Drosophila melanogaster: one gene and its partners. The protein of the gene in region 1 interacts with the protein of each later gene in a pairwise test. Each region holds a gene or a part of one and is shown on either strand. Other genes may lie near its edges.

Region 1 (4,927 bases):
AATGCAAACATTACTCAGCCGCATTGCTCGGCTACTAAACAATTTAAATGAAGATGTTCCCAATTGGATTCATGGTCAGGCGGCCGATGAGTTATTTATGCATACTTAAACACGCCTGGAAAATGCAAGGCGAAGAGCGCCTTCGGATATCTTGGCCATTTGGACACTTGGCCGTTTGGCTGTTTGGCTGCTAATTCGCAGCAGAAGCAATATTCGCACATTTATCGATTGCAAATCAATTTCGTGCAATTGCACATCTCACGTAATGTCGGCCCCTCTTGGCCAGGTCGAAACGCAGTGGCTCTGGCTCTGGATTTGGCTTTGGACTTCGATTTGGATTCGGAATCGGCTTGGGCTTGGGCTTTAACTGGCTGCAATGCATCGCTGCCGGATTACCCCTCGATTAATGCTGCTTGCATACAAATTGGCGCATTTACGTTCGCCTTCACCTGCTATATGGGAATCTCGGGGGGTCTTCCCTATCCACAAGATACAGATACAGATACAGATACAGATACAGATACAGATAGAGGTGCAGATACAGATATAGATACAGACACGCGCCTGCACTCGTTAGCCAGAAGCCTGAAGCCTGAGGCGTTTGCCTTCCTTTTGGCATTCGGCAGGCAGTTGGCCAAATTGCATAAACAAAATCGCGCAGCGAAATGAAAAGTGCGCCAAGTGCGAAATATAAATTACACCGCGAGCATTCGCATGCAAATTCCGATTCGGATTTCAATTCGAAAACATTGTCGCACGTTGAAAGTGGTAAGTGGCAAGTGGCAAGTGTCTTTCGGTGCAATCCTAATCAGCATGACTGGCCCAGTGCCAGTCACACTGCAAATCCCATCGCATCCCATCCCAGTTATCCCATTCCATTCCCTGGGTGCTGGATAGAAATGGCAACGAGGCGAGGTGACAACATAAGCAGACTTTTCGCGGGATTTGTCAAATATTTGCGCAACGCTGCGCTTATCCATCCAAAAAAAAGAAAAGCACTAAATCTCTGGAAAGGGAGATCCAAAACTGCAGCACCGAGTCCCAAAAACCCAGGAACCCAAAAAAAAACCCCCTACCCCGCTTGCCCACTTTTTTGTGTGCGCTTTCACGCCTCTTGGAAGGCGGGCAAACTTTTATTATTATTTCATTTTTTTTATGTTCGCCGCGCCTCGCAAGTTCAAAAAGTTTAATGCTATTTGACTTTGATTCAATGTTTGCATTGTGCCCGGGCACATCATCGATTATTTTCCACTTGACGCCCCACCACGTCAGCCCACTGAACATGGAACATGGAACACCAGAGCCACCAGAGCCATCCGCCCACGGATCCCGAAGCGAACTCCCAACGAATCCCCATCCGCATCCGAACTGGAATACCAGTTGTTTGTGGTGGACAAATGAAATATGTTTGGCCGCATCAAAAAGCCCTGGCACTGAAAATTGATAAATTGCGAATTAATTGAATCGCTATGACATGAAGTTTAGCACTATTTTCTCGTCTCGCCTCAATTAAAGAGTTGGCTGGGTTTTTCCTGCACAGATACTTAGATACTTTAATTGCATCCTTGAGGCCCATTTAATTGTGGCACACAAATCGATTTTTTAAACTCTGTTTCATTTCAGCACGATATGATGATATTCTCATGCATATTTCATTGAATGCATTTCATTGCCATTTAAATTTGGCCAACGAAAGTATTTGTTGTATAAAGGGCTTGGGGGCGTCCACTCTTTAAATTCTTTATGAACTTTAATTTCCAAATTACATCGCTTAATTGAGTTCGGATTTTAAATGGCTTGTAAAGCTGAGGCAAATTGCACATTTCTGCGCAGCTGAAATATGATTTACGTAATATAATAATATTTAATGCAACACATTTTTATTGCGACATTTCACTGAAATGCGTATCTTCTAAATATTTAAAATCCTCTTCTGGCCTTTTAGTCTCTTTTACAAAAGGTATGTATATTTTTGTATATTTTTGAGCATCAAGTAATTTCTTTTATAGCCAGCACAGAACAATTAGTCACGGATTTGTAAAACCAAATGTCACAGATAATATTATTTATTCTGCCAAATTAGTGAGCTGCTAAGTGGGAATTTAAATATTGATCGAACTGCTCTTGATCCAGTAATGAATGTTTTTCCCAATCTAATCAATTATTTTTTGGGTTTGGCCATATATAAAATACGAATGAATGCAAACTTGTTTGAAATACACAAAGACCACGGGAGTAATATAATAATCCAACTGGCGATTATCGATTCTTTGGCAGCCGTAACTCTTTTGCCATTGCAATGGCAAAACAATGAGTTATTTCCCAATTGCCGAGTGGGTTTGTTTGTGTATTAAATTTGGGAAATTCAATGAAATTTCACACATTTTTTCGTGAATGCCTGTGTGCTGGCAATTGGCTATGAGCTCTTCGTCGGCCCCTCCTGCACCTGCGGAGCGAATCCAACCCGTTTTGGGTATTTGGGTATATGGGTATTTTTTTTAGAAAGCCATCAACGCCAGCTACATTACCACCACCACTACCTACAGTGCCTAGCATATACGTAATGGCATATGTCATACGATTACCAGGTATACGGATAGCAGAGCAGATTGTCTATAATCCCATGTAATTCAAGACTCACCGATTTGCTGGCTGCACAGGCACAGATCCCACGGCCACGGATTGGATTGGAGTGGCTTTCCGCAAATTGCTGGCTAATTGGAGGGCTCGTGGATCTGCCAAAACGAATCTTGCTCGCTGGCATACAGGGATATATCTCTTGGTTTTCTATCTTTTTCAGTTGCCACTTTCGAAATATATAAAAATTCTCTAACCAAACGCGCTTTACAACTGCAGCACGCGCTGTTGCACAAGAGTAGCGAAAAGAGCGATGCCAAATTGGTTGCAACAGGTGGAAAAACTGGGAGCGCACCGCGATCCGAACCGAATCGGTTTTGTATATCCAGCGAATTGAGTCCCGAGTTTGAAAACTAACTTTTGAAGTCGATGCGAGCGTTACGCGTTCCAGAACCGCGCTGCCAGGCAGACGAAAACAGACTCAGCTCGATTGAGGCTCGCAAAAACCACAACACCTGACGGCGGCTTCTCAGTCCGTGGATCGGCGCCGTTCAGCGGCTCGATGGTGGTGCGCTTGGCATCTCAGCGGCTCAGCGGTTTGGTGGCTCAGCGGCTCAGCGCCTCAGCGACGGTGGCGTCGACTGCGACGGCGACTGCGGCGTTTTGTGGGCGGTAAGCCAAACTTAAAAAAAAAATCAAGTCAAATTGAGTGGCGCAGTTTGGACTGGCGATTGAAGTGTACACATGTACATAGTCGTACTAACTTGCCGCACCTGAGCATCGCTTTCGGACACTGCCAGTGTTATGATCCAATTTTATGGAGCCTCGTAAAGCCGAAGCATTTGAGATATATTTGCGGTATATGTACATCGGACTTCACTTAAGCGCTGGTCACTTGGGTTAAAATAGCGCCGGTTACTTAGCTTACAGCTTGCCATTCATCCTATTAAATGGAGCATTTTGAAGGTTCCAAAGCATCTTTAATAAACAATTAACAAAACGTGCTGGTAATCAAAGATTACGCCAGTATCTTTTACAATTGCCTTATTCAGTTGAGTTTCAAAATTGAATATTCCCATACCCAATGTATACTAGTAGTTATCATTCCAACGAAGATGACGAATACTCAAAATATTAGCAAAGATTTCGAGATGAACTGTAAATATTACTCATACGCAGCGTGTACATATATCATATATTATGAGGCTCCATATAATTGAATACATAGCGATTGAATTTTCGGATTATCATTATGATTGTTAAGAAGTGCAAAATGATTAACCGAAAATGTATTGGATTACTTTGCATTATATGTATGTTCTTTTATCTTGTATAAAAAATTCCGTTGTTAATTAAGTGATGATAGCATATGATTATCATGCTGACCCCAAGTTGTGTCTGGTAAATAAAGTGATTACTAGATGAGATCTCTGAAACCGTGCTGGCTAATTAAAGACATTCGGCGAACCTGGACCCTGTCTTTATAGTTTGATCTGTCTGACAGGGCTGAACCCACACGGACCTCCGGCTCAGCTGACTCATCCTCGAGTGCAGTGCACATCCGCTCCATCCCTATACGAATCCCAATCGAAAACCCAGCCCAATTGGTATTCCTGCTCCGTTCGCCCGGAGACGTCGTTCGACGTAGTTCGCTCATAAATTTTGCATTTGCTGTGTGATTTTCCTTTTTAGACGCGACAAGATTTCACTGATTTCGCATATATCCCAGCATTTATAATATATTCGCCTGGGCCGAGTATTCTAAGTCGAGTTCAGTACTGTTCAGCTGTTCGGCTGGTAATCGCAGTGCCGCCATCAATCACGTAGTTCCCAGCATGTTTTGTCGCCGATCCCATCTGTATCTGTATCTTGACGCAGTATCTTCTCACACCAGAGCCAAGCTCAAAGAGTCTATAAACTCGAATATCTCTCGCACAAACGCTGTACGAAAACGAAACAAAAGGCCCATTAATGACAAATGCGAAATAACGAAATTAAAATAATAATATTCGCGATCAAGACACTGCATATTAATGGTGGCCCCATCAAAAGACACTCAAGTGCACACTTTTCAGGTATGATCCGATCTTGTTCAGCTCTGTTCAAACACTTGACAATGACATGATTCGCTTTTGATGTATAATTACTTCACTTTCGAGGTACAACGGCCTGCAGATTGTTTGATGCCTTTATTTATGCTGTGTAATTGCTTTGAAATGCCTCTTTACTTATGCAGATTTCGGGGCTCCATTATATAAAAAGTTACGATTTGTAGGCGGACAGTTTGCAATGAGCAAATAGGGCAACATTTACCCAGACAACTGAGTGTTACCTTTTTGAGTCAATACCT
Region 2 (3,728 bases), on another chromosome or scaffold:
AAAGGGTCATTTAATCGCAATGTGGTGGCAACATGTGCCCCAATTCTGGAAACATTTTTGAGGCTACCTAGAGAACCTCGAGAGCATCCCCATTCCTCCCTAACGGATTTGTACAGGTGGTTGGGTGGTTGGTTGCATTAAAAATGCATTGGCCAACTCGTTTATTGTTGCTCCTTGGCAGAGCTTTGGTTTACTTTTATTTAGACGAGCTATTCGCTGGGAGAGCCTGATGATGCAAGCTGCAGCTGCAAGGATTCCACTCCATTTTGGGAGACACACACTTTTCATTAGCTCAAAGGAAGAAGCATGGATCGGAGCTCAGCTCAGGTGGAGAAGGTAAAGCCCTTAAAGTTAAGCGCATGGGAGCGGAACAAAAGTTGCCTTAAAGTCGTTGCCAGTCAATAATGACAGAGGATCCCAGAGGATAGGATGCCGTTTGGAAATGGTAAAGCGGATGCGGACGGGGATTCGAATCGGTGCTGAAGCTTCGGCCACGCCCACTCCGTGTCCGTGGGCGTGGCAGATGAATGAGAGGAGCACAGCCCCCCGAAACCCCGAAAAGAAAAGCAGAAGCAAAAGCAGCTGCAGATTTTCTATAAAAGCCGAGGCTAACGAGATTTGATGAATTGCAAGTCTTTGTGAATGAAGCTACAAGAAAGCTGCAGCATGAATAGCCCCGAGGCACCGCCAGGCCGCCTCCCACTCCTTGCGCTTTTCCATCTAACCCAGGTCCACATAAAAAAAACCCATTAAGTGGTTTAAAGCAGTGAAAAAGCGCACAGCACACAACAAGCAACACAGCAAAAGAAAAATGCAGTTGACATGAAAGCCAGCCAAAACGGGGCGATACAGGGATACAGGGATGGGGGTGGTAGGTCGGTAGGTAGATTGGTAGGTGGTGGAGTCAGACAGATGAACAGTACAGAACAGCACAGCACAGCACAGAGGAGCGGAGCAACAATGCTCACCCAGAGATGAGATAAGAACAGCCGCTGGAGGAGGACAAAGCAGCTTGACGAATTACTTGGCAGCTGCTCCTAGTGAAATCCCTGGGAGAATCAAGGAGCAGCGGGCGGGGCGGGGGCGAGCTGTGCGGGAAAGGACGAGGCGCAAGAAATTTAATTTGACCAACATTTTGATGTATCAAGTTCAGTTGAAGCCGAAGATTTATGACTTGCTGACAGAGCAAGCGGAGCAGCATCACCAGGATTGGGACGTCATGTCGGCAGAGAACAGTGCGGAGCAAGTGCATGCAAGAAATTTTATTCCATGCCAACCAGCCTAATCATTTTATAAATCATCTTGGTTTACCAGACGTACATATATATTATTGTACATATAAAGATCTGGAAGAGCTTATCTATGAGTTTCTCCATGATCATGCTCAAGCTTTAAAGTCCAAAAGTTGGAGCCGCAAAGCTTTGGCCGAAACAAAAATGAAAGTAAGCTGACTACTATCGAGCACATTTCCCATTTCCACTTGCCTCACGTAATGAGCCCACTGAAAATGAGGAAAACAAGGCCTTGACATCTGAGCCTGTTTGACTTGTGGTGATAATTGCAATTGGCGCGGTGTCTGTGACTTCAACTGTGACGCAGACAGTGACTGTGATTACACAAAGAGGAAACCTATGCCATTACCGATGGGGTATTCTGCCACGCAAGAATGCTGTATAAATCATAATATATAAATTATAAATTGAAAAGATAACATCGAATATATTAAATATTGCCTTTAAAAACTTTAACAGAGTTTACAACTTGCTTTTTGTATCACTTCTTAAAATAACAAGGAATACTTGTACACAAGTGTTCGGAGTTAACCAAGTAGTGACTGCTGCTTTAAAAGTCAGTTGAATAATTCAGTTTAAGGCTTTCTGACCCGAATTTACTCCCGTAAAACTGGAAGTGTACACCTAGGAGGACATCTGGAGATGGCTCGACTAATGGCCTTGATCATGGCGGTGTTGCTTCACTCGGTACTGGGCATCTCGTACTACTACTACTTTCGCGAATCTCCCGGCTCCGCTGCTCCTCTCTTGGGCGCCTGGCTCTTTTCCGCCTGCGTGGTGACCCTTCTTCACGGGGTGAGGATGTTTTCAAGTGCCCTGCCCGCCGATCAGCGGTTCAGGAATGGGAATCGAAACCTTCGCGGCAATGAGTCGTCCTGGGCATCGCTCTTACTGGAGACAGGCGTCTGCTGTTTGGTGCTGGATCTGACCCTTAGCAAACTGTGGCATCGCATAGAGTCCCTCTGCCAGTGCGCCATTGTGGGCATACTCCAGGCCTTGGCCGTCGAGGAGCAAACCTTCCTGGTCTGCGAGTACTGGACTTTGGGCCTGACTACCGGCCTGATCGGCGCATGTCTTCTGTGGCTTTCCCTATGGGCCACCGCGTTGCCCCAGAAGCTCCGCTGCGGGATGCTCGACTGGCGTCGCACCCTTCATCGCCGCTGCTCCGCGCTGATCTTCGGAAGTCTCGAGCCCGGCACTCCAATGCAGACCCAATCCCAGGGAAGCGCACAGAGCTTTGCCAATTGAGACGGAGGGGTGACCATTCCACTTCCACAGCCATATCACACTACCTCAGTCAATAGCTAAATTTATGGTTCAAATTATACTAAAAGCGTTTTAATAGGCACAGTGGGACACAACGGGCTGCATCATAAATTGAATTATGAATAACCATAATAGTAAATTTCGATTCAAAGCGTAGTTTCTTTTAGCTTCTTTAAGAAAAAAATAAACTCAAAAATCGAACATATATTAAATCGCAAGACCACTTTCTGACCGAATCCATGAAGCCAATTTGAAGCGGACAACTACCGGCCAAACTGCCAACCACTGGGGGCTGTCATCCCCCCGAAAAAGACTTGTAAACTCGTTAGCCGTAGCCGTACCCATATGCAATGCGGAAGAGGACCGATCCGAGATCCAAAAGCGACACGCCCCCAAACAACCGATTCGGTTTCGGTTTCGGATTCGGAAGACGGAACCCAGCGGCTCAAAGTAAAGCAAAGCAAGTCGATCGAAAGCGAAAACGAAACCATTACTCTGATGCGCGATCGATGGCTGTAAACTTGAACTTGAAGCGTAGCCAAAAGCGATGGACACCACGACGGCAAACAGCAACTGGCAACTAGCAAATAGCAACTGGCAACTAGCAACTTGCAACTTGCAACTAGCGACATGCAAGAGCCTGGCACACGCAACAATGCCGCTGAAATGCTTCCAAGGCAGTGCCAGCCAAATGCTGTTGCTTGCTGGCGCGCTGTCGTGTTTCGCACTGGTTAAAACTGCAGCCGCAGCCTGTTGCCAATTGCGGGAAATTGGTCGGGTCGTCGAGCGATATAAAAGCCTGGCTGGCAATGCAGCCGTGTTAATCAAAGCGCGTCGCTCGCCAGGAAAAGTGCAAGTGTTTTCCACGCTCCCAGGCAGCATTCAAACTCAAATCGCAGAGAAAATTCAGCGAGGTGAAATACGCATACTTTTTTTTTCTGTGCTTATAATAAAATCGAAAGGTGTTCCAAAATATCTGACCTTCGTGTTGCAGAATTAACTAAGCTGCTATAGCAGATATAGTTCAGTTACAAGTGCAGCTTACGATACAATTTTTCCATTTCGGATGCACTTCGCGTCCTGAAAATCAGCTTCGGGTATAAGCAGCAAAATGTTATTTTATAATATCCTTTGGGTTAACAAGTAAAATATATTATCGCAAATATTTTT
Region 3 (3,909 bases), on another chromosome or scaffold:
GATCTTTGCTTCTCAGCGAGGAAAACCAAGCGGTCAGCATAGATATGGGGAGCAGCGATACCACACCACTCCTATCAACCCAGACACAGATGGCCATCTACGATGATTCCGATAATTACGTCCAGCAGCGGGCGGAGACCATGCAAAATATAGAATCTACCATCGTTGAGCTCGGCGGAATATTCCAGCAGCTGGCACATATGGTTAAGGAGCAGGAAGAGATCGTGGAGCGTATTGACACGAATGTGGCGGATGCGGAATTGAATATTGAGGCTGCCCATGGGGAGATCTTGAAATACTTTCAATCCGTCTCCAAAAATCGCTGGCTGATGATCAAAATCTTCGGCGTTCTCATATTCTTCTTCTTGTTCTTCGTTGTTTTTATGTCGTAATCAAACGCCAGTTGCCCATTAAAAGCCCCATGTACCTATCCATGTATACAGCTTTTTATTTTAATCAAGATTCAATCACAATATTGTTTATTCCAAGCTGTGGCCTCCCGAAACGATTGTAAAATAAAGTTATAAATACGTTCTAAAGCAAAATACATTTATTTTAGCATGTGGTTCTTTGGTGAATTTTTCCATTCTAATGGAAGCTCTAAAATTAAATATAATTTCCAAAATATAAAGCCGAATGATAAATATGTTTGCTGATGTAAGAAACTTGTATATTACCTTAGAAAACGTGTAATGCAAGTATCAAATTGGAGAGAGACTATATCTATGTTTGCCCTGCTGATAAGGTTTAAGTGCCCTTTCATAATCTTTATTATCTTAAGTGCTCGTTGCTCCATGTTCGTCGTGTTTAGCCAAAAATTCCGCTGTCCCTCATGCTAAACAGAAAAATGAAAATTGGTTACATTGATTTGACTTTTATTTAATGCTTAAAATCCAACTACACCAAAGATGCGATATGCAAAAAATAATCAAAATAAAAACATGTTACAATCTCTTACTGCAGAAAAGTATTACAAATTGTATGAAAAAAACAAAGCTTCAAGATGTCTTTATGGATTTACACTAGAATTTACAAGTGAAGTATTGTTCGCGGTTGATGGGGACTCTTCCCCAAAAAAGGAAGTCCTCTACCCGAGTTTAGACAACTAATACACGACGCTGATGCGTTGGCGCCAACACTGAGATCCCCAGGCAAGAGCTTGCCTATGTCGAGATGAGCGAATAAACCATGCTAAAATTAGCAATTAGAAACGTTAGACAAATGAGGACCCTGGCCACAATGAATCTCAATTAGACTTACCCGTATATGTAGTAGAAGAAGCTAATCAGATAGACGGCCAGTTTAATCCAACCCTCACGCATGTTCCGGTACAAAGTATCGGTTTTCAGGACCGTGGTGGGATCATAAAGTCCGGGTCCCGACATCACAGGGCGGTTTTTGTAACTGAAAGCGATAGGGGTATTACAAAGCATGAGTGCTTAAGGGTGCTTATGTTGGGCTTGGGTGAATCTTGATCTCCTCGGATCTCAAATCACATTATATCACACGGTCAAATGAGTCACTTACCGCCAAATATGATAGGCTATGAGGGGTATGTTGATGCATAGCGAAAACCATTCGCCGCAGAACAAGAAGAGCAAGTTCAGAAAGATGTGCAGAAGGTATTCGGGCAAAACCAGCTGAAATGCAAACACATACATTACAGGGCGCACTGCGGGTGTAAGCAGTAAGTTTACTGACCGGATTGAGGCTATTGCACTGATCAATTGGGTTCTTATAATCCGTTTTAAGTTCGTCGAATGCAATGACATGAAATATGGCGAAAAATATCAAGAATGCATCCCCGATCAGGGCCACTATGTACGTGAAGGCGGTGAAGTTGAAGGCCATCTTGTAAAATCGCTGGAGCACGTCTTCCAGGTGCTAATCAAAGTGACTTGCTAATTATTATCGTAAAATTCGGCTTTGCAATTGTAGCGCTGGGACTCACTTGTTTTTTTTTTACAAGGGCGGCGATGATGACAGCTGTGCGCCAGGGATGCACTAATCTAAACGATCAGGCAGCACAGATGTACGGTCACATTGCAAATGAGGCTAATAAATAATCAGCTATCCATTATAAATCAAATATAATTTCATTTAAAGAAGCAATTTTAATTTCTAACGAATTATAATGTTTTGTATTAATTTTAATTCTCTGGTAATTTTCTCTACGCACAAAAAATACCACTAACAGTTAGCCGATGCGGTCACACTACATTTCCAAATCGAACCGCCATTTGTGTTGCATCTCGAAATCTGGAAAAAATTCGATCCAAGTGTTCTATGAGCTTCTGTTTTTTAATAATAATAAATAAATAAATTCGATAATCAACTGACACCAGAAAAGAGCGGAACACAATGTCGCAGTTCAATTTTGTGAGCGATTTGCAGAATGCTCTCATCATGGACGGCGAGACGCGCGGACCTGCGCCCAGGTGGAAGAAGAAGCTGGAGGCGTCTCTAAATGGAAGTGTGAATACCACTCGGTCGGTGCTATCCGTCTCGTACAACACCAGTTTCTCGGGTGTCCAGGCGCCCACGAAAACTCCGGGCAAGAGCAGCGAGGGCAAGACCAAGAAGTCCAACACCACGCCCTCTAAGACGCCAGGAGGCGGAGATCGCTTTATTCCGAATCGGGCGGCTACCAACTTTGAGTTAGCACACTTTCTGGTAAGGATTCCACTCATCCCTCCATCCCGCCCTGTAAGGGCATCCTTATTCCAGACCCCTTAAGAATTTATTGACCACCTGACCATCTATTAGGTGAACAAAGACTCCGGCGATAAGTCCGATGAGGAGAACGACAAGGCCACCTCGAGCAACAGCAACGAGAGCAATGTCCAGGCTTCGGCTCACAAGGGCGACCGGCAGAAACTCATCTCTGAAGTGGCCCAGGTCGGTGACTCCAAGGGCGGGCGCATTTTGTGCTACCAAAACAAGGCTCCCGCTGCTCCAGAAACACACAACAATCCCCTGAAGGTCGTGTACTCCATTAAGACACCCATATCCACAAAGAGTGGCTCACGCTATATACCCACCACATCCGAGAGGATTCTGGATGCACCTGATTTTATTAACGATTACTGTAGGTCGAAGAAAACTTTTCTTTTCTTTTTTTCTACTATTGATCTCTTCCAGATTTAAATCTTATGGATTGGAGTGCCGACAATATAGTGGCTGTGGCCTTGGGCAGTTGCGTCTATTTGTGGAACGCACAGACCGGAAATATCGAGCAGCTTACGGAGTTTGAGGAGGGCGACTACGCAGGCTCGCTATCGTGGATCCAGGAGGGGCAGATACTTGCCATCGGCAACAGCACCGGTGCCGTGGAGCTGTGGGACTGCTCCAAAGTGAAGCGTCTGCGAGTGATGGATGGACACAGTGCCCGAGTGGGATCCTTGGCCTGGAACTCATTCCTGGTTTCCTCTGGCAGCCGGGATGGCACCATTGTCCACCACGATGTGCGTGCACGTGAGCACAAGCTTTCCACATTGTCCGGACACACGCAGGAGGTTTGCGGCCTAAAGTGGTCCACGGATTTCAAGTATTTGGCTAGCGGAGGCAACGACAATCTGGTGAATGTTTGGTCGGCGGCCAGCGGTGGCGTGGGAACTGCCACCGATCCCTTGCACAAATTCAACGACCATCAAGCTGCAGTGCGTGCCTTGGCCTGGTGTCCCTGGCAACCAAGTACTCTAGCCTCTGGAGGCGGCACCGCCGATCGCTGCATCAAGTTCTGGAATGTGAACAATGGCACTTTAATGAAATCCGTGGACTCCAAGTCGCAGGTCTGTTCTCTGCTCTTTTCTCGCCACTACAAGGAGCTGATCTCTGCGCATGGTTTTGCTAACAACCAACTGACCATTTGGAAATACCCAACAATGGTGAAGCAAGCCGATTTGACTG
Region 4 (7,806 bases), on another chromosome or scaffold:
CCCTTTCAGGAAGTGCAAACATACCCGAATAAGGTCAAAAGGGCAGCTCTTGTCCCGCAAGCCACGAAAGGCGTTGCGCATACGCCGCGTGTGTCACGCGCTGGCTTCTCGTCCTAATGACATGAGCCCCATGCCAAGCGAATGACAGAATGGATCCGAGAACGGGACTTGGACTCGGCGGCGGTATGCAAATCAGTTTACTGTGGCGACGACAATGATGGCCGCCACTCAATTATGCGCTGCGCAGGAAAGACTTTTGCTGCCTACTTTCAGGCAGACAACAAAACAAAAAAAAAAAACAAATGAGAAGTGTGAGGAAAACGCTTTCGATTTTCCGATACCCATTTATATTTATATACTGATTTTAAGGAAAACACATTTCAATTTGAGACCCAAAATCCCTCTTCTGTTGCCTCGGTGAAATCCTTTGCCCATGGGAAACACGTCAAGGGATTTTACGTGGCCAACAGGTGTTCCAATTGTTTGGGCTTCGTGTCGGTGGTATATTTAGATCGCAGAGCCTCATTAAATTTTTAATTAACGGAATTAGTGGAATGTGTGTTGCCAAGTGCGCACGAATGTCGAGGGATTCCGACTCCTGTGACGGACTCGAGGCATTCTGGTGGCTTTGGGGCGTTCCGTTTTATTATTTATGTCCGGTAAGTATACTCCTGGAATACCTCTTCGTGTCGCCCTAGGGAAGCATGACGTTACAGGTGCCCAGGAAATTTTTATTTAGGACCAAATTGTTCTTGAAACCCTGGCCTTGACATCCTAAAAATAGACGTACTGGCTTTATGTCACATCGCATATATTAACCTGTCTAATTATAATTAATGATAATTATCATACTAATGGGTGGCCAGGGACAAAAGGTCTTATATACATACATATATTACAGGAAATTACCATGCGTGCCACTGGGTTAAAACCTTTTCCGAAGCGGAAGCGATGGAAATTATGCCATATACAATAAAATGGTTTACCTTATCATGGAGCTAAAGCTCAAGCGATAAGCAGCAAATTACTTCTAATAAAGATGTTGACTCGTGTGTTTTTTCGAAGGACAAATGACTGTAATATAAAATACTTCAAAGAAGTTCTACGTAAAAATAACCACAACAGTAATATAAAATTTCCATTTTAGACACTTTTCTGAGACATAAACTAACTTCAGGGCATAATATTATTTAAAAGAGCAATCCCTTTTTTTTTTATAAATACCTGATAGACAAAAGTAGATGGCTTTAAAAGTTTGCGCACTGGTCACTTCATCAAAAGACCTCAATTATGCAATGAGTGCCAATAATTAATTATATATTTTCATTATGCCATTCGTTGCGTACACTTTTCATTTATTTTGTAGCATCTTTTGTGGCAGAGAAACTTTTTGTTCGAGCTTATAATTGACTGTGCTCGGCACAAAGTAACTGGCAAATTATTTATGAAAATGCTGCCTGGCCCGCTATAGAAACCTAATAACAATAATATTGCTGATTAAGCATTAATCAAAGCCGCCAGCTGGGCAAATCAACAACAAAGACGCCAAACTAAAGCCACAAGACAATGGGAGTCGCATTGGAAGTCGGAGAAAAGGGAAAGTGATGATCTCGGTTCGATGAAATTTATGGAACCCGGCTGGTTTAATTATGGAAAAAGCTCGGCCCAATATATGGGTTTTAAATGTAGCCTTTTGGTAACAAAAGAAAGCACAGCAGCAAAATTGGCTGTTTGTCAACTGATAAGCGGCTGCTGATAAGGGAAAAGCCATTTTCACATTTTCCATCTCTCATGGGAGAGAGAGCGCTAGAGAGCGGAAAGCTTCGGCGAAAGCTTTGCTTTTCGGCCTTGGCATTGGCTCGCTTTTTAACTAAGACTTCGGCTTCGTTTATGGCCAACAGCTGATCCGAATTGGCCAGATGTTGGGCTGCCTTTGGCCCGCTGATTCAGTTGTGCCGCACAGGTTAACGCGAGCGGTTCTTGTGTCGGAACATTCGGTACCAAAACTTCGGACGCTGCGGCTTTCGTACTATTTATGATTTTTTGTGTTGTGACAAATGCGATTTATTTGCGGACAAAAGTGGCTTTTGGCAATCAGCTGGTATTGTTCTGCGAGAGCCGTACCAAATAGTGCATAACATAAAATAAAACAAAACGAGTACTGGAAAAAAAAAAGTATCTAAAGTCAAACATTTGGGTCCCCTGGCAACACTTGCATTTTCCCTCACGACCAATCGCCCAATATAACTCCCGGCTGACACACATTTGATGAGAACAAACAGCAAACTTAAAAAAATCTACCGAAAATAATGTCAACGAAATCAATGGCAGCCCACGGCAGCTGCAACATGTTGCTGCTGTGTCTTCTGCTCCTGCTGCCGTCGGTCTCCCCCGTCCGCTTGCCCAAAAGCAGCAGCAACAATGCAACAGCAGCAACAACAGCAGCGACCGCATCAACCGAATCAACCGCAACAGCAGCAACAACTGCTGCAATCCGCAATGCCAATGCCAAGGCTGGTAGCAAATATGGTAAGTCCTATGAGCCGAGGAATAAATTCAGACAATCGCAGGGCCAGTTAAAGTTGCAGCTACTAAAAGTCTGCGGTCGCAGGCATGTCAGCTGCACAGAAAAAAATAACTTTAAATATTAGTTTCTCATTTGCCTTGTAAGCAGCACATAAGCAGCAAGCAAATTAGAAATATGATTTCTTACGTGAAAACTCCATCTGCTGCGCAATGTTATATAGAAACATAAACATTTTTCCAAATAGCCTTTTTAAGATTTAACTAGAACACAATATTTTTTAGCGTGTTGATTTTCCTGTTTACCTATTCTTGTCGAATGTTGGCTAATTGCACTTGGTCACGATCAAGCGCTTTTTTCCCTGAACCTAGTTATGTTCCTTGTGGTATTTTCCCTACGTCTGCCCTTGGTGGCAAACGAAAGACTCAGACAACGAACTTGCCCGGCGGCCAGCTTTTTCTGCACCGTGTGCCAATCATGTGGGCACGCGGGAAATGTGTCGACATTTCCTTTTGGCCGCTAAATGAGGGCGGCTGGCACGCCCAGAGCCGCAGAGCGGAAATCGCAAAGAGATTTTCAATGGAGAGCAAAAGTGTCATTAGGCCGGGACAAAATGCCAGTAATTGTTGGCCACAAAACACAGGTTTCGGCCGTTCTCTCTCTAATCGAATTAGCTAAAGCGGTGCAATTACATCGCCATACGGTGACAGATCAAGATTGATCTGGCCAGATGATTGAAGGCAATTTGTCCGACGATCTTGTATTACAGAACTTCCCGCTGGCTGTGGCCAATGGAAAATTAATGAATCTCTGGTCGGGTCTCATCGACACTTCCACTTCCTGGCTTGCATAACACTGCAGTGACGGCCTACGAAAATATGGCCTAACCGAAAATTTGTGCACCGTCATAGATAGTAGAATTCCCAAGATCGAAAAGCACCATTAATCATTGCGATGCTGCAATTGAAGTGTCTTTCATTTCTGCATCGCATTTTTATTAATTTTCTGCTGGATTTTGGCTCAGCAATGGCATCTAGCCGTAGCCCCGATTTCAGAATTTGTGCCATCGCAGACTTTTCACTTTTCCATGTTCTCTGTGCGAAATTCGCCTAAAAATGCTGCTGCTACCATGCACAGACACACACAAAATCGGTGTCAATGATTTCAACATGGGAAAAGCATGGTAAAGACAGCCACCCGAAGCTGCAACAACTGCAACATTGGCAACATCACTACATGGCCAAACACAAACAAGCTAGCTTCGGCAACTGGCATTTCTAATTGCAGATTATGCAAGGTTCTGGCTCAGAAGAAGTCCCCAAGCTGGCGGGCTTGGGAAATCGCCTGGAAATCGGGGCTAAGTGGGCACGGAAAATTGGAAATTTACCGGGACTCGACGTTGTGATTAATGGATAATTGATCAGGGATTTATTGTTACGAATCTCGAGGAAGCGTTTTTTGCAAGCTAAGTTTGTAAAATGCATTATTTTCTCAGCTTTTATGCTGTGTTGCTGCTGACTTTTAATGCTAAGGTATAATTTCCGTTCTTATTAGAATGTGCAGCATCAATGCGATTCGAAAATGTAATACTACATTATAGCTCGTTCAATCAAAGTTCTTGGTAGCATTTAAAGCCCAAGTACCAAGTTGCACCATCCCTTTAGCCGCAACATCCAGCATCATCATCGTCGTCAGGTCTAGTTCTTATTCCGACTTAACTACCTGCCCCCCTTGGCTAATTCACGTCACACTCCGAGCCAGATCCACCATCACTCGCAGCTGGAGTGGAAGTGCAGAGCTGGTGACTCCAACTGGCAGCACACTTCAGATCTTCTTCTGCAGATCTGCCAGTGGGAACAACCACTTAGTGGGGTCCACAAAAAACCAACCGAATGAAACAGAACTAATCCAAAAGCGTGTCTGAAGCTCAGGCGGCGGAAAACGAGTTCCTTGCCCCGAACCTATGCTCTTGCAGCAAAGTAACTAACCATGGTGGCTGATTTGCATGCAAGACCAACAGCTACCAACTGCCAACTACCAACTGCCATTGCCACTGCCACGAATCTTGGCTATAACCCCGTTTTCCCGTTGCTGCCCATGCTCATGCTTTTGTAACCTTCGATAGAGATACGCGGCGTTGCCGGTGAACCAAATTACAAATCGGTGAATCTGACCTGGGAAGTTGAATTCGTGCCGTCGGCCCATGACACAGATTCGAGCCCCAACTCCAACTCCAGAGCGGACCAGGTGAACGCGACAAATATGAGCGGCGATGTGGAACCGCCCCGGGATCTGGCATTCCAGATATTCTACTGTGAGATGCAGAACTACGGCCCACAGCGGTGTCGCGTCAAATTGGTGAATGGCACCACCGCCGAGGTGTCCCAGGAGGAGAATGAGAAGGCGACGGATCAGCAGGAGAAGCATGAACCCTCAGGGTAAGTGGTTTTGCCATTTAGGAAATGCAAAAGTTCGTAAGAATGTTGGTGCACTTTAAATTCGAAATTTAATTGGATTTGCCTTTAACGAACAGAAGAAAATGAAAATATCTTTAGGCAAATATTTCAAAAGAAATACAAATACATTCGCGTAATCTTAAATAAAATGATATATAAGTAATAAAAGAGTTATACTCCTAGCTCATCCGCTCAACTGGAAATAGTTGATCAAATTTTTAGTGCAAAGCTGAATACGATTAAGTTAAGTTACGTTTAAGACCATTTACTCAATGCCTTTGTAGGTCCCAGGTGCACCACTTTGTTGCTGCCGTGGACAACTTGCGCATGGCCACCAAATACAGTTTCCACGTTCGCCCGGCTGCTCAGAAGCGCCTCCAGGCGGGCGGAACTCGCAGCTCCAATGCCCGGGCAGACTTTCACGATGAAAACAACGAGATCGAGAGTGGATCCGGACATCTGGCGGGCCAGAGCATCGTCATACCCACCAAGGGCTGTAAGTGGTTTCCAAGTATTATTTAAGTTTACAACCAACTTACGCTTGTAAAAAGCTGAAGCACTGAAAACGTCGTACGTAGTACTTTTTCAAAACGTATATATTTTCCAAAACTTACCAGTCACCGCACATGCCACCCAGTGTTTGCCGCATGCCTCAGAGATCGAGGTGGAGACGGGTCCGTACTTCGGAGGACGCATCGTCGTGGATGGAGGAAACTGTGGGATCAAGGGCGATGCCAGCGATGCGGCGGACAAGTACACGATGAGGATCGATCACAAAGAGTGTGGAAGCTTGGTGAAACCGGAGACCAACACGGTGGAGACCTTCATCACGGTACAGGAAAACCTTGGCATATTTACCCACAGCACAAGACGGTAACATATAGTCTATTTATTATTTTCTACAAATATGTAGTACATATGTAGTACAGTGTGGCACCTTTAAAGAGGTTTATCATTTTTATCAAACCTCTGTTCGAATCCTAGCTTTGTGGTGGTCTGCAGCTACCACTCAGGCATGCAGACGGTCCGAGCAAGCTTCACTGTACCTGGAAAGAACGGGGTGGCCGCCGCCTACGAGCCCAACGACCCCTTTGAGCCAGACGAGGATCAACGCCTGGGCAGGGAACTCCGACCGATGCGCTACGTCAACAAGACGGAGCTGGTGCTTCGCGAACCGGACTCCCAGCGGGAGTCCCAATCCGATTCGGAGTCCGTGGAACAGGCTGCGGTGGTGGAACAGGCCCCGACGCCCACCACCGAGCAGGCTTCTCAGCCCAGAGGTCAGGGCAGAGCTCTGAACCTCAACGAGGTCAACAGTTTGGCCGATGAGCCGGCGGAGGAACATCACTTGGAGCCTGTGGTGGGCACCAAGTACGCCAAACTGGTTGTCGACCAGAGCCACAGTTCCTGGATGCCGTTGGAGGTGGGCTCGCCATCAGGTGGTAGCGACGAGAATGAAGGTAAGTGGCCTGTCAGCGACAATCGTGATTCCTAAATGCCCATAAACTTGTGAAAATTTAGAAAAATATATTTTAGTTGTGATTTATAGGAATAACATTCTTTACATTTCTTGTTAGATTAAAGTCTCGAATTGATGACCTATATAATTGCTTTTTTATTATTGAAATATTTCTATAGATTTTTCCATATCCTTTTTTCTTCCTGTGCAGCCGTTCTGCGTTATATTGGCTCCCATCTTAGCAGCGTGCTGGTAACCGTCTCGCTATCTGTGATAATCATCAGCATTTGCATCGTTCTGCTGCAGCGCCAGCGGATCCGCTCTCCGCCCCGCAGCCCATCCCCCTGCCTGGCCGCCCACCTGCCGCACAAAACGTTGCCGCGTGCACTGCAGCAGCAGCAGTACCAGTGCACCTTGTAGGTGCCCCTGCCCCAGCTCCACCGACTGTCCCGCCGCGTCCTCCGCCTTCCTCCGCCAGCTACTCAGCTATGCCCACTTGTCTTGCTGAATGTCAAAGTTTTGAGAGGAAGAAAACTTCAGCATTTAGCTGAAGATGACTGCGCATAGCCACGCCCCCATCCCCATCCGGACCCTGGTTGAACGGATTCCAACTCAAGCCCCATCGGTACCAGTGGGTTAAGCATCCTCCGATTTACATAATTATAAGCTCGACTTCGGCTCTGGCCAAGCTTTAACTGCGATCGCGAGGAGGACGAGCGGGCATGGCACTTCTCATAGAGCGAGATTAGTCTGTAGACTCCTAGATATAAGATTTTGTATAAATTATTTATGCCCCGAGAATACATACATATTATAGCTACTACATTTTATTGCTTATTTTATTACGTTTGGATTGAATTAGAAGGGGTGTTAGAAGCTAACTAAATGCAAAAAGATTATTAACTGCATATTACTAACATGCTACTTCAAATTGAAAACCTGACCTACAATTTCAAATGGGACTCATAAAAAGCGAGGCCAACCAGACACTGCTGAGTTATAATGAATAGGATAGTTAAGAGAAAATAGCAGTTTAGCGAGATACATAAAAATACATGGCCCAGAATGATCTCCGCTAACGAATCTTTCCCAAAACATTTGACTCAAATTCTGCGGAAATGAAAGTCAGTCAATAGGTCGATTCCCGATATAGATGCACTCCTCCACGAAGTTCCCACTTCTGCCCAAGAAGCTAGTCGAAAGTGGGTTCCCACTGCCATCATCATCATCAGACTATAATTTCGGAAGTACATTCTAACCGACTTCATCAAGGGTTACGAACGTGTTATGTGTCTGGGCTTCTGGTCGTAAAACAAAATTACGAAATTATGCTAAGATGTTGGGTCGTCAGACGGCGATTTGCATGA

The links.
Region 2: the proteins of wat (region 1) and CG11379 interact in a two-hybrid assay, tested with the Drosophila melanogaster proteins (one large-scale study listed by BioGRID).
Region 3: the proteins of wat (region 1) and cni interact in a two-hybrid assay, tested with the Drosophila melanogaster proteins (one large-scale study listed by BioGRID).
Region 4: the proteins of wat (region 1) and CG16798 interact in a two-hybrid assay, tested with the Drosophila melanogaster proteins (one large-scale study listed by BioGRID).

The regions. Positions count from the first base shown.
Region 1 is NT_033777.3:29,017,382-29,022,308, forward strand, and holds the start of wat (waterproof), read right to left. Parts: upstream 3,026-4,927; 5' UTR 2,642-3,025; intron 1-2,641. UniProt on the Drosophila melanogaster protein: Catalyzes the reduction of saturated fatty acyl-CoA to fatty alcohols. The preferred substrates are C24:0 and C26:0. Necessary for the final stages of tracheal maturation, to facilitate the transition from water-filled to gas-filled tubes.
Region 2 is NC_004354.4:1,178,330-1,182,057, forward strand, and holds CG11379 (uncharacterized protein), read left to right. Parts: upstream 1-1,835; 5' UTR 1,836-1,934; coding exon 1,935-2,540; 3' UTR 2,541-3,222; downstream 3,223-3,728.
Region 3 is NT_033779.5:16,308,740-16,312,648, forward strand, and holds cni (cornichon), read right to left. Parts: upstream 1,988-3,909; 5' UTR 1,952-1,987; exon of another isoform or gene 1,902-1,951; 5' UTR 1,852-1,901; coding exon 1,702-1,851; intron 1,641-1,701; coding exon 1,528-1,640; intron 1,405-1,527; coding exon 1,261-1,404; intron 1,192-1,260; coding exon 1,164-1,191; 3' UTR 553-1,163; downstream 1-552. Other genes in the region: Syx5 (syntaxin 5), read left to right, coding at 1-392; fzy (fizzy), read left to right, coding at 2,362-2,673, 2,767-3,088, 3,142-3,909. UniProt on the Drosophila melanogaster protein: Acts as a cargo receptor necessary for the transportation of gurken (grk) to a transitional endoplasmic reticulum (tER) site and promotes its incorporation into coat protein complex II (COPII) vesicles.
Region 4 is NT_033779.5:20,376,436-20,384,241, reverse strand, and holds CG16798 (uncharacterized protein), read left to right. Parts: upstream 1-1,885; 5' UTR 1,886-2,309; coding exon 2,310-2,529; intron 2,530-4,649; coding exon 4,650-4,962; intron 4,963-5,264; coding exon 5,265-5,476; intron 5,477-5,597; coding exon 5,598-5,853; intron 5,854-5,964; coding exon 5,965-6,440; intron 6,441-6,650; coding exon 6,651-6,859; 3' UTR 6,860-7,261; downstream 7,262-7,806.